2 linked regions of the Oryzias latipes genome follow. The protein of the gene in region 1 interacts with the protein of each later gene in a pairwise test. Links are inferred from orthologs where the notes say so. Each region holds a gene or a part of one and is shown on either strand. Other genes may lie near its edges.

Region 1 (8,105 bases):
AGATACAAGAGCCTTCAGATGAACCTGGGACAAACAAGCAACTTAAAACTAAAAATGATTCATCACCTGTCATGCCATCGTCCTCAGAGACCCTCCAGAAAGTCATATCACCAGTTCATGAACATAAAGGTCCATCGCCGGAACCAGGGAAACAGCCATCACCCTATGATGAAGCTTCAAAGCTTCCGACCGCTGGATCAGATTTACCGGCTACCTTAAAGCCAAGAATCCGAAGCCGAATCCCAATACTTATTTCAGAAGAGGAGTCAGGCTCTGAACAGTCTTCTTCTCTCTCAGCTCGAGCTCGGCTTCAGCAGCGAGCCAGACAGCTGGACTTGGCTCGTGTGCTGGTCCAGAAGCAACAGAATCGCTGGACGAGGAGAAGGATGCAGTCTGGAACATCATCGTCCTTGTCCTCTGGGGAGGATGAGCGCCGGAGGGCGTCGGAAACTTTATCCACCGCTGGGTCAGAGGAGGATATCCATACCTCGGATGAGTCCAGAAAGAGCATCCGTCTCCAACCGACTGAAGAGCAGGGCTCCAAGGAGTGCAGGAGCAGGATTCCCAGGCCTATGACTCCCATAAAAAGACCCTCAGGGGGGTTTGCTTCTGCTACTCCTTCACCTTTGTCCATGTCAGACAACAGCCGTACCAAAGGAGCATCACCCGTCATTAATGGGTGGGCTTTCTCTCTTTCATATTTATATATATAATTTAACTTTGAAGAGTTTAATTTTGTCTCAGATAATTTTTTTTTCTTGTCCACAGAAACCAGAAAATTGGATTGAGCACTCTCGCCACACAACCGAAATCTAAGCCCATCGCCACCAGATCCTCATCCTCGTGTCCCCGTCCATCAACAGACTCTGTCCCACCTGGCAGTCCTCGAATGCCCCTACGTGTTCTGGTTGGAACCCGACGCAGCCTTAGTTCAACCCATTGCAGGACTGACAGCCCCTCTCCTCAAAGAGCATGCCCAACCAGGCAGCCCCTTTCAGTTCGAGCCCCAACTGTCCCCATGCTACCACCCAGGACTACATCAACAATGCGGCGCAGCGCCTCCCAGGAAGCAACTACTCAATCCTCTACGTCCATGCCCACCAGGACCAGGCCAAAACCACCGGCTGTAACTAAAGGGAAACTGAACACCAGGGAAAAAGTGGTACCTGCTAGATAATACAAAGAGTCTCATATCTGAAACGTGTATAATCAGTTACTGGACAAGCTACGCCTCAAGACTTTTCACCTGATTCCATGATAAACTGTGATGCCACAACAATGTTTTTCAATTAATTTATTGTACACAAACATATTTTCTCTGTCGAAGGACTGCAAATATTACTGTCTTAATGGGCTTCCAGTCATCCTGATTAACTGTGCAGGAGTGTTGCTGCAATGGTGCTACAGATATGTCTGCTGCTCCCTGGTCAATCCCTGGTTTAACTGCTTCCGCCAGCTGAAAGTCTTGGCCTCCAACAAGTCCTTTTTCCAGATAAAGCACCTAGCACTGTACTCTTTACACAGCTCTTTTCCACTTCTATCAACGTTACTCTGCTTGGTTCACACTGCATGGTAATGTAATAAAAAAAAAAATTAAACAGACTACAAAATTAAATTATTTGATGTGTTTTTCCCTGCTGATTGGCCGTCAAAAGATTTGATTCGTCTGAATGCCCAACTATATTATTAAGACGTTACCAGCTGCATCCTTTACAGCCTTGGATTTAGAGAAGAGTATAATATGAAAAGTGAATATACTGCTCAGCCACTTGCCTCCTCCTCATGGTGTCAGTGGGCATGCTTTAATCCTTATTTTGTTAATGCTTTGAATTGTACATACCTGAATCCTTTCCCATAAAGACATCTTTATTTTTGAACTTCCCAAGCAAACTGTAAATCGAGTCTGTAGTTTCTTTTTTTCTTTTGATGTATTGGCCCGATGCCTTTCTCTTCTTCTTTTGTACGCATGATAAAAAACAGGGTTAACCATGAAAGGAAATGATACCTGCTTGGATCTGATGCAAAGTTATGCTTTATCCTAGTATGGCGTCCCTGAGCATTGAGCTGTGAAGTAAAGTCTTGGTCCTATATTGAAGTACCCTGTCATTATTTCATTTTATTTATTTTTTTATTAAAAAAAAAATCCCAGGATCTTTTGACTTAAAGCTTTGACTTCATTTGGGTTACTTGATGTCAAAATTAACTGGAGCCAGATTACTTCACCAATTAGCCAAAAATAAAGACAGAAATAAACTTCAGCTCAGTTTGTAAAAAAAAACAAAAAAAGGACTTTGAAGCTTTGTCATAGACTTGCTTTTTAAAATATCCAAAAGGCTTTAGTTGGTTAATAAATAAATATCTCTTTTTACTCTGAAGGGTTGCCTTCAACTACAGAGAGATCACACTCTACAACCTGAGCAGGAGCTTGGTTTTTGTTGCTAGTTGAACCTGTTCCACTGCATGTTGGACTCTAGCATGGATATAATTTGTCACAGGAGGGAGTCTGGTTTGAAGGCAGGATTTCATCTCTGCTGTTTGCAAATGATTTTATTCTGTTTGCTTCAATCAACCTGGACCTTCAATGTGCACTGGGACAGTTGAAGTGGCTTTGGCACCTTTTTATGTTACATATCTAGAAAGGTATTTGATGTCTCATCATTGGGAGTCCCTGGGGAAGAGGACACAATGGAAGTACAATGGCTCTTAGTTGGCCCAACAGAACTGGAGGTGGTTTCTGTGGAGAGGGAAGTTAGAAAGAAAGTTGATGGATAAATCTATGCTTGCCATGTTCGGCGCTATTTTACTTATTTTGATTTTCAAATCAAATGGATTAAATGCAAACAGAAGATCTTTGTGGAAATATTAACGTAATTTGCACTAAACCGTTTTTCCCCTCTCATTTGTTGAAAATTTGTTTTTATGATCTTGTGCAGGAAACCAAAAACAACTCTTTGGTGAAGGATATAAAGGATGGTGTTGAACCACAGCCAAAATTAAAAACATGCAAATGCCAACATTTTCTTATAACAACATTTAAATGTCATTTTTTTCTTTATATAAAATAGTTTTTGATTTTGTAGAAGCACCTTTTTAAATTAGATCTTAAAATCAATGTTGGTCATTTTCATTTCCTTAAATGTTAGAAAAACAAACTAAAAAGGCACTTGCTATGAATACAAAAAAATAAATAAATATATAAATAAAAAATCACAATACCAAAACTTTTTTCAAAACTTCAAACTTCAAATAATGTATATACAATTGCCAACAGTTGCCTGAATGCCGGCATGACAAGCAAAGAGCTCTGCGGCAGAGCTAGTAGTAGCCTAGCAGGAGCTATCGTATGAAAAAGCAGCCTAGGTATAAATCTTATGATATTTTTCTTATATTCATTGAGACAATATTAAAGTGATCATTTTTGTTTTTTATGTTCCTTTTTGAACAAATGTGGGTCACAGAGACACTGAAGTTACCGCTGAAAGCAGCTTTTGCGGCCGTACGGAGAGCATATCCGTGTGAATGACTTATGACGTGAATAATTATGGCGTTCGAATGGATAAATTATTGCGTTTGAACGAATTAATTATTGCGTTCGCATGAGTTAATCATTTTGAGGGAACGGAATAGTATTTCGAGGGAACGCAATAGTATCTTGTGGGAACGGCATATTTTGTGCGAACGAGATATTAATATGTGGGAACAAGATATTAATCTGTGGGAACAAGATATATTTTAATATCTCAATGTCAGGACACGGGCTCCGTATAAGACAATCTCCCTTTAATTTATTTCATGGTTACGTTTAAAAATAAGAACATAAAAATGTATATACTATTTCAATAAATGATTTTTGTTTAATTGAAGTATAATCATCAATAATAAAACAAATATTAGTGAGTCTGGTTTATTTACAAAAAGTTTGCAGTTCACTGGTTCTTCCGTTGGGTGGCAGTAACGTGGTGCGCAGACAGGGTGCGCATTAGGTGCAGAAGAAGAGCGAGTATGGCGCTGGAGGTGAAGTTGTGTTGTTTGGAGGAATTCCCCTCGCACCTGAGTCCTCTAGAGGCTCTGCTCCTTCCAACTCACTTGGAATCAGTTTTTCAAAATGCCACCGACCCTCCGACGGTCCTCTTCATGGCGCAGCAGCCTCAGCTCCGCGGGCGAACGGGCATTCTGCTGCGGGTTCATGCCACTACCGAGGAGGAGGTGTCGGGCTGTGGTGGCGCGAGCCTCCCCGCAGGCAGCGGAGAGCCGGTCCTCCGGCTATTCACCAGCCGTTTCTTTCTGCGGCACCACCGGCTCAAAGGAACCGGCTTCATTCGACCCATGGAGCCTGTCAGCCTGGACCGAGTGGTGCTGGGCGCCCGCAGCAAGCAGAGCCTCTGCTGGGCCGGAGCCAAGCAGTTCTCCGCCGGGCTGACGGAGCTCTGCCAACGGGGAGAGTGGCTGCTTTCCCGGCAGGGAGACCCGCTGCTGCTCCCCCAACACCCGCTGCTCGGAGAAGACCCGGTTCAGGTGAGCAGCTTTATCCAACAAATGCCAGTCTTCTCTAAGTTGACTCTCATATCCAGTTGGTCTTCAAGTTACAACTAGCAGCTAAAAATATAGCGAAATGATTTTTCAATTTAATCCATTCAGACTTTATGAAACATTTTCAGCTTCTTTGTGTAGTTTTTGTTCTTCCAGCAGCCATACTTGTTTTAAATTCGAAGTGTCTTCTCCTCTTCCTCCTCCGGATGAAGGGGCAGCAGCAGCAGCTGATGATGGAGCTGCTGGTGTTGGACTGCAGTCCTGTCACTCAGGGGAGGATCACAGCCAGCACCGCTTTGGTCCTGACAGATTTCTGGGACCCAGTGGACCCCCCGGTGGACCCCGGCCCCTGCGGACCCCTCGGACTGTGCGTGTCAGACTTTGCTCGTTACGCAGACAGCCTGGGAGGAGGCAGATCTCTCCTGGACAGCAGGGAGGTGTTGAGCTCGGGTTTGTCAGACGCCCTGCGGGCGATGGAGTGCAGGCTGGATGTCCGGGTGGTGGACACTCGGCGGCGGTGGTGGGGGGCAGATGTGGACGGCTGTGTTTTCCTGAGCAAGCATCTGCTGCTGCGACTCGGTCTGTTCAACCACCAGTGGGTGAAGCTGGGGAGGCCGGACGGTGAGGATGGGGGAACAGATGCCTGCAGAGACCGGGTGGTGTCTGTGGTGGTGGTGGATCTCTCGCTCTGCCCGGAGTTGCAGCCCCACGGGGATGCAGCCTTCATCTCTGCGACTCTGTGGTTCAACATGACGGATGGAGAGGAGGTTCCTGTGAATGGCTGCAGGCTAACGATGAAGGTGCAGATTCTTCTTCTGATGCTTTTCTGTTTGCTGGAAGTTCTGTTATAGACCCACTCTGATCATCTTTTAAACGATTGCAAAAGCGTTCCCAGTTGTCTTTTAATTATGATTATACCAAATAAAAATAAAAATCTGTGTTGCTATCTAGGATGTAGTTTCCGGAGAGCGGCAGAAATGGCATTCTGAGCTTAATTTTCCTCAAATATGTCCTCCATTATCAGAAAAATTCTACAAGAATAAGTTAAAATGCCAAAAGCATGATTGTCATGGAAGTGGGTCATCAGAGATGAGGTTGTTTTGTGAAAATCTGTCCTGTTCCTGTTTCAGAGGTGGAGTCCGTCGCCTGCAGAACCCGACCTTCGTCGCTCGGACAGCTCCTGCCGCTCAGCTTCTCTACCCATTGCTGGCGAGCTTCACATTCAGCCCGTCGTCTGTCCGTCGTACAAAAACCTGAGCTGCTGTGACGAGCTGCTGGCCGAACATTTCAGCACTCCCAGGTGAGCTCGGCTCGCCAAGCCCGTTTCTGTTTAGGGAAACCAACGGTGATGGCGATCTCCTGGTTCAGAGTTTTTGTTTTTTCCTCAGGGTGGTTGCAGAGGGAGACATCCTGAGCGTTCCCACTGAAAACCATCCGGACCTGCTGGAAAACAGCTTGGAGGGGATCCACAGGTAAAGCAGGCCTCTGCACGTGTGAGCTGAGGAGGAAAAATAAAACCTGCCTCACATTTGTTTACTCTTTGTCTTCTAAATAAACAGTAAATGATTTCTGTCAGGAGCCCAGCGCTTTTCTTCAGAGTGCAGAAAGTGAAGCCTCTTTTAAATGGAGGAGGAGGAGGAGGGGGAGGAGGAGGTGCATACCTGGCTGACAGAACACACACTTCCCTCTTTATGGTGTGTTCTTTTTCTTTTCTTGCATCTTTAATCATTTTTTACCATGAATGACGTTTTTGTGGTTCAAGTTAATCATTGTTAACAGTATCTACCTCGAATTTATGACAACTTGAGACACAAACGGAACTATTTCTATAAAAAAAATACACATTTAGCGTAGAGGACAATATTGGGTGTTTGCCATTTTGTTCAATTACAATTCCAAAAATTGGGTGCCCTGGAGATTTCCCAGAAGTCTCTGCAAGATACAGTGTTCATCAATGCTCACTAGATAGGAGAATATAGACCACAATGCATTGCATTTGAATGATTGGTACTTTATTGATCCCACAATGGGGAAATTCTTCTCCGCATTTGACCCATCCCCTGGGGGAGCGGTGAGCTGCAGCCTAACTGCGCTCGGGAGGCAGTAGCGCTAAGGGCCTTGCCTAAGGACCCTCACTGGGTGATGTTCATTGCTCAATTGATATGGTAATTGACTCAGTACCATTGTTTATTCCCCTCCGGGAATCGAACCCTGGATTCCTGCGTGGTAGCCTCTCACCTTACCAAGTAAAATAAAAACAATGCGGAATGATTGGACATTCAATGATTGGGCATTATAAAAAAATATGATTTTATTTTACAAATGTTCCAGGTTTTCATCATCAGAACACAGTGGATTCATAAATAGTCTTTGACAAATGTTCATATATTTTAGGTTTTTACTTCGGGAAATCTGTGACGTCATATTTGGAGTTTAAAAAAAAGAAAGAAAGGAGTGAGGATGTGTCTGAATAGCTTGAAAATTCAGGGTATTTGGTTGATCCACATTGTTTTTATTTTACTCCAAGGTGTTTGTCTCTTTAGGGGGCGTCCACCAACAGCCCGGTACCGTGCCTCTCTGCAGACTCTGCCTCTCTGTGGAGCAGCTTATCTCCACCGGGACTACACAGAACCGTGGACATGCTCAGCAGCATCATCCTGCCTCATCTGCAGCACAGGTAGAAACTCCTCCTTAAAGTTATCCTGCAGTATCACCTGTCTGTAATCTCCAGTGTTGCATTGTGGGAAATGGTTTGATGGCATATTTTGGTTTTAGGGAGTTTCTGCCTCGATGCACCGTCCTGCTCCACGGCCCTGCAGGGAGCGGGAAGATGACGGTGGTCAGAGCGGCGAGCTGCAGACTCCACCTGCACCTGCTGAAGGTGGGGTTTGCACTTGTTTTTATGAGTTTGTGTGCTCAGCAGCTTCAGTTGTCGTGTTGTGTGTTAGGTGGATTGTGTGACGCTATGCGCTGACACTCCTGCTGCCTCTGAGGCCAAGCTGACGTCGGCGTTTCACCGGGCGGAGGTCCTGCAGCCGTGCCTCCTGCTGCTCAGGAACCTGCAGCTGCTGGTTCGACCGCGAGGAGCCGAAGAGGACGGCAGGGTCCAGGCTGCGCTGTGCCAGCTGCTCGACAGCGCCCCCACCAGGTCGGTACCACGCCAACCTGCTGTTTTATTTGAACAATGCATCTAATACTCTCCTGTAAACTTTCAAAGGTTTTGCAGTTTTAGCTCTGTAACAACTTTGACCCACCGAAATCGGCTATCAGGCGGTTGGATGCAGCTGATTTTAGGTTTTGCAGAAACGTACATCTCTCTGCTGGTGTTGCAGGGTGGCTGTGGTGGCGACGGTGTCCAGAGCTAGAGATCTTTCTGGTGGTGTCATGGCTGCGTTTGTGCACCGGGTGGAGCTAGAGAGTCTCACGGAGGAGCAGCGGCACGCCATGCTGATCAGCCTGAGCAGACATCTTCACCTGGGGAGAGACGTGAGCCTGGAGAGGCTTTCCAAACTCACGGCTGTGCGTACCGAGGCTGAAAGCAATTTTTACCCAACTACAGAAACTAAAGACTTTCC
Region 2 (7,897 bases), on another chromosome or scaffold:
AAAGCAAGCAAACAGTATATACAAGTGTGCAATATAAGCTGTAAACTGTATTGAAGAGTGCCGAGATAATTGTGCAAAAATTGCGTATGAAAAAACTGTGCGTAGACATGTCAAAGTGCAGAGGTGGCAATGAGGTAGATAGTTGGAGTAAACAGGAATGTTTTTTTTTTTTTAGTTTTTTTTTTTCATCCGTGCATTTGGGAATTGAGGATGGTTATTGCCTTTGGAAAGAAGCTGTTTTTTAGTCTGTTCGTTTTGCTTCTGATTCCTCTGTAGCGCCTCCCAGAGGGCATCAGGTTGAACAGGTCTGAGCCGGGGTGTGAACTGTCCTTAATGATGTTTTGAGCCCTAGTGAGACAGCGCGCGGAGTAGATGTCCATCAGGGTGGGGAGAGGGCACCCAATGATTTTCTGAGCTGTCTCTACGACTCTCTGCAGTCTCTTTTTATCCGCGGCCGTGCAGCTGCCGAACCAAACAGTTATGCAGTATGTAAGCAGGCTCTGGATGGATGACTGGTAGAAGGTCAGCAGCAGGTTGGTGCTAATTTTGTTCTTCCTGAGGACCCTCAGGAAGTGCAGACGCTGCTGAGCCTTCTTGATGATGGCGGTGGTGTTGGCTGTCCAGGAAAGGTCTGCAGAGATGGTGATGCCGAGGAACTTGAAGGTGTGGACCCTCTCCACATGCTCCCCATTAATAAGGAGGGGGGCTGGGTCCGCACCATGTTTCCTGAAGTCGACTATGATCTCCCTGGTTTTGTTGGTGTTAAGGGTGAGGTTGTTCTCTGAGGACCAGGTTGTCAACTTCAGGACCTCCTCTCTGTAGGCAGACTCCTCCCCCCTGGGAATGAGTCCGACCACCGTGGTGTCGTCGGCAAACTTGATGATGCAGCTGTTGTTGTGGGCCGGACTGCAGTCATAAGTGTAGAGGCAGTACAGCAGGGGGCTTAGCACACAGCCCTGTGGGGCCCCAATGTTCAGTGTGCGGGTGGAGGAGTGGTGGGGGCCAAGTCTCACAGTTTGTGTTCGGTTTGTGAGGAAGTTGTTAATCCAGTTGCATGTGAGGGGTGGGAGGCCGAGAGTGAGCATGGGGGTGAAATGTTATACGTTCGCTTCCTCTCACTCCTTTTGAAACAAATAAACTTTTTATGACAAACTTCACATTTATTGGATTCAGTGTGTCATGTATTGTATCTTTACGGACATATAGGTCTACTTTTGATTAAAACTAATTATACTGGCATTGCTTACATTTGTATGCGGATGTATATAAACGCAGGTGTATTTGTTTTATTTAAAAAAATTTAATTTTAAAGTTAAGTTACAGTTTATCATTGTTTAATATATATGTAGGATTTTTTCTTTTAATTGTTTGAAATAATCCATAATAATCTTTTTTTTTTTAAACAGAAGTTGAGAACGAATATGAAGACTTGTCTCATGGCCAAAAGGCGATTGCGATTTATGACTATCAGGGAGGTATGTTGATTCACTTCAAGACATAAAGTGCTATGATCTGTTCACAAATGTGTTGTTACATGTCTGTTTCCACAGAGGCAGAAGATGAGATTTCCTTCAATCCAGATGACATTATCACTAACATAGAGATGATCGACGAAGGCTGGTGGAAGGGACAGTGTCACGGTCACTTCGGCTTGTTTCCCGCCTCTTACGTTCAGCTGATTTAAACTTTGTTTTTTTGCACACTCAAACGCTGACTCCTTGTACGGATATGAAGAAATCAGGCAACTATGTACCAATGCACCAAATCAATCCTCATAATGTATCCAACTAGAAATGAGTACATCTGTCCATCTATATATTGCAGTTCTCCTTTCACAATCTTTCTGTTAAGCAGATTTTTTCCAGTACAATTGTGCATCATGCCTTTCTTTTTTAACACTGATTTATCCCTAAAACATCTGTAATCCTATACTTCATTTTACCTATTGCGGGTTATTCTTAGAAGGTAGCCCCGACGATAAACGAGGGACCACTGTAACTCCAAAATCTGAAATGATCCAAATAAAGAAAACTGAGCACTTTCTACACAAGTTGTTTTATGGTATTTATTGTTTGCATTAATATTTGACACAATTTAGGAAGTAGACAAGCAGAAAATACTGTTCATCCTCTTATAGGAACCACTGTGAACGTAAATCATACTGTTTTTACATAGGAACACATTTCTCAAAAATAAAAAGGTTCCTATTGGAATATGGTGGAGCAACAGTTCTGACAGTCCACTAAAGAAGTCACAGCAGCAGAAAGTTTGTATCTGACACGGCAATTTAGTATCAAAAGTCTTTGAATCAGTTACTCCATTTCACCAGGCAATTCCCTTCTTCTTCTTGCCCTTTCCACTTTTCTTTGTCATGCGTTTATCTTTCAGTTTCTTGATCTGGCGTTGGTTCATCCACACAGGGTACCGTCCGTCTTCATCCAAAAGGGTTTTCTTGTTGCGCTTCTTATCTGTGTCCATCTTCAATCCTAAGGACAGAAATGCAGAGATGAGCTGTGTACAACAAAAACGAAAGCACTAAGGCATGCCAACTTTAAACACCCACATTTTTTTAATCTATTTTCAACGCGTTCCCAGTGGTCTTTTATTTATGATTGTCGTTTATAGCCAAAACATCAAAACTGCTTTCTAGTACATAGTTTCTGCAGAGTGGCAGTCGTTCATTAGAAAGTGACCTCCGAGTTGTAGGTGGAATAACTGGCCCCCTTTTCCCTCCCCATTGCTGAGAGCTCTCTGTTTACATACTCTACTGCTAGCTTACAGCCCCTCACACTCCCTTTGAGTCACATGCCAGCTCAGACGAGCAAAACAAAAATGTTCATGGATGTACTAGTCGTCTTTAAGTGGATGGAAACTTGTGGCCACACTTAAAGAACAGAAATCAATCCACTCACCTTCAGCCGCGTCCTCTGCCATGTCAACATCTGTCTGCTTCTTTATCTTATCAGGAGACACCACAGTAGCAATCTCCTCCAGGTCAGCCATGTCCACCTCTCCTTTTTTGTCATTACTCAGAGCTTGTTTAAGTCGAGCCAGCTCCTTTGGGGCATTTTTCTTCCTCTTCTCCGCTCGCATCTTACGCTTCCATTTGCTTCTGAGGCTTTTAGCCATGTTTACTAACTATTTCTAAAAGGAAAAAGAAAATACTTGGTAAATACAAACATTGTGGAGAACTTTAATTTTTTCTTGTAGCCTATCCTTGCATGATTTAATATAACATCTGAAACTTCATAAAACATAGAAGCTGGATTATGATGAGGTTAAAGAAAACAGGCACATCTAAATAAGTTATTGTCACAAAATGCTTTTAACTAGTTTAAAATCAAGATTTTGTTAAACGGTTAAAGTAGTTGTTTGTTAGCTTGCTGGATTGCTAACACGGTAAGCAGCTAATACTAGCTAACAGCTAAAACACAACGTTTTTTCTCTTCTAAATTACCAAAACGCATAACTTTTTTACGCATAAAAGGTAATACAGTTGTGAACTATATTCTGTACACTAAGGGCAAAATCAAAAAGACATCAAATTGTGAAAAATACCTGAAGTTTTTATAGTAGCGACATAAACACAGCACGTGTTTACAGGAATGGCTTGGAAAAAACGACTTGCACTAAGCTGCCATCTGATTGGCTCATTTTACCACTTTGAAGAAACTAGTGTCCGATTGGCCAATTTTTCAAACCCGGAAGTTCAACGAGATTTGTGGATTGTAAACAAACGGCGTGAGCGTCCATTTCCCTCACTAATCGTAGATTTACTTTAGTCAGGTCGAAGGATAAAAATAATTTGAAGGTTTTGCGGGGTTCACACATTTTTCTGGGAGTCATGAGCAGCTGCTCAAGCAGACAGACGCCTTGCAGCTTCGGTTCCGTTAGCAGTTCCCCTCCGCCGTCCTCTGCTGCACTACAGATGATAAACATGCTCGACTCTGCAGCAGAGCAGATGATGGTCTACAGAGACTTCCAGGCTGTTTTTGATACGTGCCAGAGAGGTCTGGAAAAGCTCGCTGGCACGGAGGACAACAGGTGACCCTCATTTAACGAGAAAATTAAGATGGAAAAAGTTACAACTGAAATTTATTTAAAGTAGTACACTTGAAGCTTATTTTTTAAGAATACTTGAGTATAAGTTTAGAAAGTATTCTATAGACCATGCAAGTGTTGTGTTGGAAGACTAAATTGGAACATTTTAAGTTTATAATATATAGATAGTTAAAAAAAAGTACATTTAAAGTATACTGCCTCGCCTTTAATTATATAGACTTAGTATACTTGTAGTACATTCAAATAGCCTACTCAATGGTAAGGGTTATTTTTGGTGCACTTTTTTATGTGTCACAAAGCAAAGGAAACGTTTAATTAAAACACAAGATGTAAGTATAATGGGTTCCTAAAGCTTTAAAGATTATGGGGAAAAAAGTTTTTCTCCTGATAAAGGTTTGGGGTCATTTGTTGGACATTTGACTCCTTCAGGGAAAGAGAAGCCAGTGGCGTGATTATGGGATTTAATATTTTCTGCTGCTCACGATGATTGTGATTGCACAGTTCTAGTTGTATTATAGTTCTTGGAGGCTCCTGCTGAGGATCCCCATGAAGAGAAGGCTGCAGTAGTTCAGTTTGGAGGAAACAAAGGTTTTATCCAGATTTTCTTCATTAGGCAGGCAGGATGAGATGTTTTTAAAGTCCCACTCTGATCATCGTTTGATTTAAACCACAAAAAACACAGTTTTCAACAGAACCTTACGGGGTATTTCTGATTTCTTTTTTTCTTTCCTTTTTTTTTGACTTTGCAGATGTACAGAGTTGAAGACTGGTTTCTGCATCTTGGGGATTCAGGCGCTGGCTGAGCTGAATCGCTGGCACGGAGTCCTCGCCTGGGTTCTGCAGCAGTATGAGCGCCAGGAAGACATACCAGCAAAAATAATGCAGATGTGGTAAGAAATAATAAGAAATACATTAGGTCAAGGAAAAAAGGAATTTAATCTCCTATGTAGTGTTTATAGCATCCTAAATTAGAGCTACATCATTTTTGTTGCATTGAAGCTGCATAGATACCATATATCACACAAAATTGTGCTTTTAATGTCTATTTTAACCTTTGTTTTGTAAAGTGTCTTTGGGTTTCTTCAAAGGCGCTTTAAATAAAATGGATTATTATTCTAATTATTAAATGCTAATAAAAGACAGAGATGGAAGAAAAAATATTTTTGATAAGAGACTAATTGCTCTCCATCCGTTCTTTTTCTGCAGCATACTTCTGTACTCCAAGGTGGGTGAAGCTGCTGAGATGCAGGAAGCAGCCAGTGTTTGGTTAAACTGTCCATCAAATTGCGGATCTGCTGGTTTCCGGACAGTTGCAGAGTTGTATCTTCTACACATACTTGTGCCTCTCGGACATTTTGAGGAAGCTCGGGAGTTTATTGCAGGTGAGGTTGGTGGCATCGCCTTTGCGGAGCGGAAACAGGCAGCACTAAATATTGTGGAAGAAAAAGCACAACAAAGTCGAGAAGCAGCTCTGCGCTCTGGGATCCATCCAGCTTCTGAGATTTCTGCGCATCCTAACTCAGTTAAAGGTTTGACATTTCAGTCATATCAATGTGCATTGTGCTCAATTTCTTGTGCAGAAATAATGACTAGATCTTCCTAATTGTGGTTTGCAGATGCTATAATCCATAAACTCGAAGCTATGCTCAGGTTTTTATACAGAAAAATCTTGACAGCCGGTTCTGGCTTATTCCCTCTCCGGAGACTTTTCCTGATAGCTGTTATCCTCTACATGCTCTTCAGCAGACTGGATCCAGGTTTGAGAAACTCTTCCTCCTCAGTATGTTACTGTTGACTTTTTTATACCCTGTTGATTGGAAATAAATGAATGCCTTTCTTGTTTTTATTTTTTTTTACAGCTGCGCCGTCCTCATTTATGTGGATTTCCAAACTTTGTCAGCTCTTTAAACAGATGTGGAGAACCATGTTTGGACCTTATTATCAGACTCTCAGTCAAAAAGAATAATTGTGGAAACATTTAGTTGAATTGATCTAATTTGATTGTGTTTAATGGAAGGTCTTTACTTTAATTCTGTGTCTCTAACATTTGTTTAATTTCGTTTATAAATTAAAAATAATGATTTTATAGAAGTGCTTTACAAACGAGCAGTTATAGATTCTATTGCTTGATTATTAGTCAACAGCTTATTTAAAAGAGATCCATTGATCATTTAGTTAGAATCTTGAAGTAAAACCCAGGGAGGTGAACAGGAGGTAGACTGTATTTATGTTAAAATGTAGAATTTTGAAAAAACAATAGCTATAATATATTGCAGAGCACTGATTACCTTTTAGGTGTTATATTTTTAATAAAATCTTTATACCTCTAAAATTGTAGCCATAAATAAACTATTAACAATTATTTTCTTGTGTCCATTATTTTTAAGGACCCACTCCAATCATCTTTTGATCTATTTTCAAAGCCCCCCCCCCCCCCCCCCCCCCCCCCGTAATTATTTTTGCCATTTTTAGCCAAAGTAAAAAGGTGGTAGTAGTTCAAGCCTCTGAGTTGTTTGAAGGACTTTTTGGATGCAAGCCTACCCCCATTTCCCATCATCCATATGTTTACATGCTCTCCCACTAGCTAACAGCTCCTCACACCCAAGTGGTAAGGACACCTCCAACCTAACATTAATGGGCTCTGAGCCAGATACCAGCTTGGACAAGGAAAACGAAGACTTGCATGGATTATATTTGTCTGCAAGTGAATGCATCAGGCAGGGATCTTGTAGCCTGCCCATCATATTTTCAATGTTATACGATCTTTTTCAAACTGAATTTTGTTGTCAACTGCAGATTCACAATTTAATTAAAGAAATACTCAGAAATACAATTTTGAGCTTAATTTTCGTTATTTATACTCTGTTATCAGAAAAATGCATCAAGAACAAAAACTTCAAAAGCACCATTTTCATCAGAGTGGGTCCCTTAGGTGAAAATGACAGTGAAAGTGTGATGTTTTGATTTATAAAAGCAAATCCTGGGAGGATCAGAAAATTTCATAAAAAAATATTTATTTTGTAATGTTAAATTAAAAAAAGGCGTTCTTTAGTGAAGTCACGGGGCAATATTTTTTGCTGTTCCAACAGTTTTAAATGGAAATATACCTAAAGCAACAATATTAAGTGCTTAGAGATACGCAATGTTTAAAACGAGTTTTTTTTATAAATAAAGTTCGATTTTATCTGCGCATGTGCAGTAAATCCCATCTTTTTTTATTTTTTTTAACTTATATGTCTCTTAACAGGATGCAGAACACTTAACAGCTGATTTGTGGTTATAGACCTTCCTATAGGATATATGCCACGTTTTACAAATTTGCTTACTTTATAAATGGAGCTGTTAAGTTTCGTTTTACGCGCAGAGGCGGGTTAAACGAAAGCGATGCCGAGGATGATGATGTGATGAAGACTCAGCTGACAGTGCTTTGACTCCAGCAGAAACGTCAATATCACGGAAAAACTCGACAAGAAAGATTTATTCTACCAAAATAACCCGACGCCGGGTTAAACTACTCGACTTCGTTTAAAACGCAATGTCTTATGGGATTTGGAGGATTTTTCCAACGCTGTGGAACACTCAGCTCAGTAAGTTACATTTGTTGTCAACGAAGTTTTTCTTTTTCTTTTCATAAACAAAGTAGTTGAATTTTTATTTAGGATTAAACAAATAAGCAACTTTAAAAAATAAAATTATAATTTGCGCTCAAATTACACCAAAAAGGCTGATTTTACTACATTACTTTTTATAATATACATATATTGTTTTATATATGGTCTGAAGAAGTATTCAGTTAGTATACTTCCTACACTACATGTACATAGTGTATACATGC

What was found.
Region 2: the proteins of pex6 (region 1) and pex26 come close enough for resonance energy transfer, tested with the Homo sapiens proteins (2 studies listed by BioGRID). The link is inferred for Oryzias latipes from reciprocal best matches to the Homo sapiens genes PEX6 and PEX26.

What each region holds. Positions count from the first base shown.
Region 1 is NC_019859.2:8,881,057-8,889,161, forward strand, and holds the start of pex6 (peroxisome biogenesis factor 6), read left to right. Parts: upstream 1-3,967; 5' UTR 3,968-4,002; coding exon 4,003-4,515; intron 4,516-4,742; coding exon 4,743-5,330; intron 5,331-5,660; coding exon 5,661-5,830; intron 5,831-5,918; coding exon 5,919-6,002; intron 6,003-6,106; coding exon 6,107-6,224; intron 6,225-7,073; coding exon 7,074-7,207; intron 7,208-7,305; coding exon 7,306-7,411; intron 7,412-7,478; coding exon 7,479-7,678; intron 7,679-7,862; coding exon 7,863-8,049; intron 8,050-8,105. Other genes in the region: ttbk1 (tau-tubulin kinase 1), read left to right, coding at 1-679, 769-1,177. UniProt on the Homo sapiens protein: Component of the PEX1-PEX6 AAA ATPase complex, a protein dislocase complex that mediates the ATP-dependent extraction of the PEX5 receptor from peroxisomal membranes, an essential step for PEX5 recycling.
Region 2 is NC_019881.2:17,756,176-17,764,072, reverse strand, and holds pex26 (peroxisome assembly protein 26), read left to right. Parts: upstream 1-3,708; 5' UTR 3,709-3,844; coding exon 3,845-4,044; intron 4,045-4,811; coding exon 4,812-4,952; intron 4,953-5,268; coding exon 5,269-5,591; intron 5,592-5,678; coding exon 5,679-5,819; intron 5,820-5,921; coding exon 5,922-6,028; 3' UTR 6,029-6,424; downstream 6,425-7,897. Other genes in the region: hematopoietic lineage cell-specific protein, read left to right, coding at 1,407-1,475, 1,551-1,684; llph (protein LLP homolog), read right to left, coding at 2,323-2,486, 2,913-3,129; ubl carboxyl-terminal hydrolase 18, read left to right, coding at 7,598-7,649. UniProt on the Homo sapiens protein: Peroxisomal docking factor that anchors PEX1 and PEX6 to peroxisome membranes. PEX26 is therefore required for the formation of the PEX1-PEX6 AAA ATPase complex, a complex that mediates the extraction of the PEX5 receptor from peroxisomal membrane.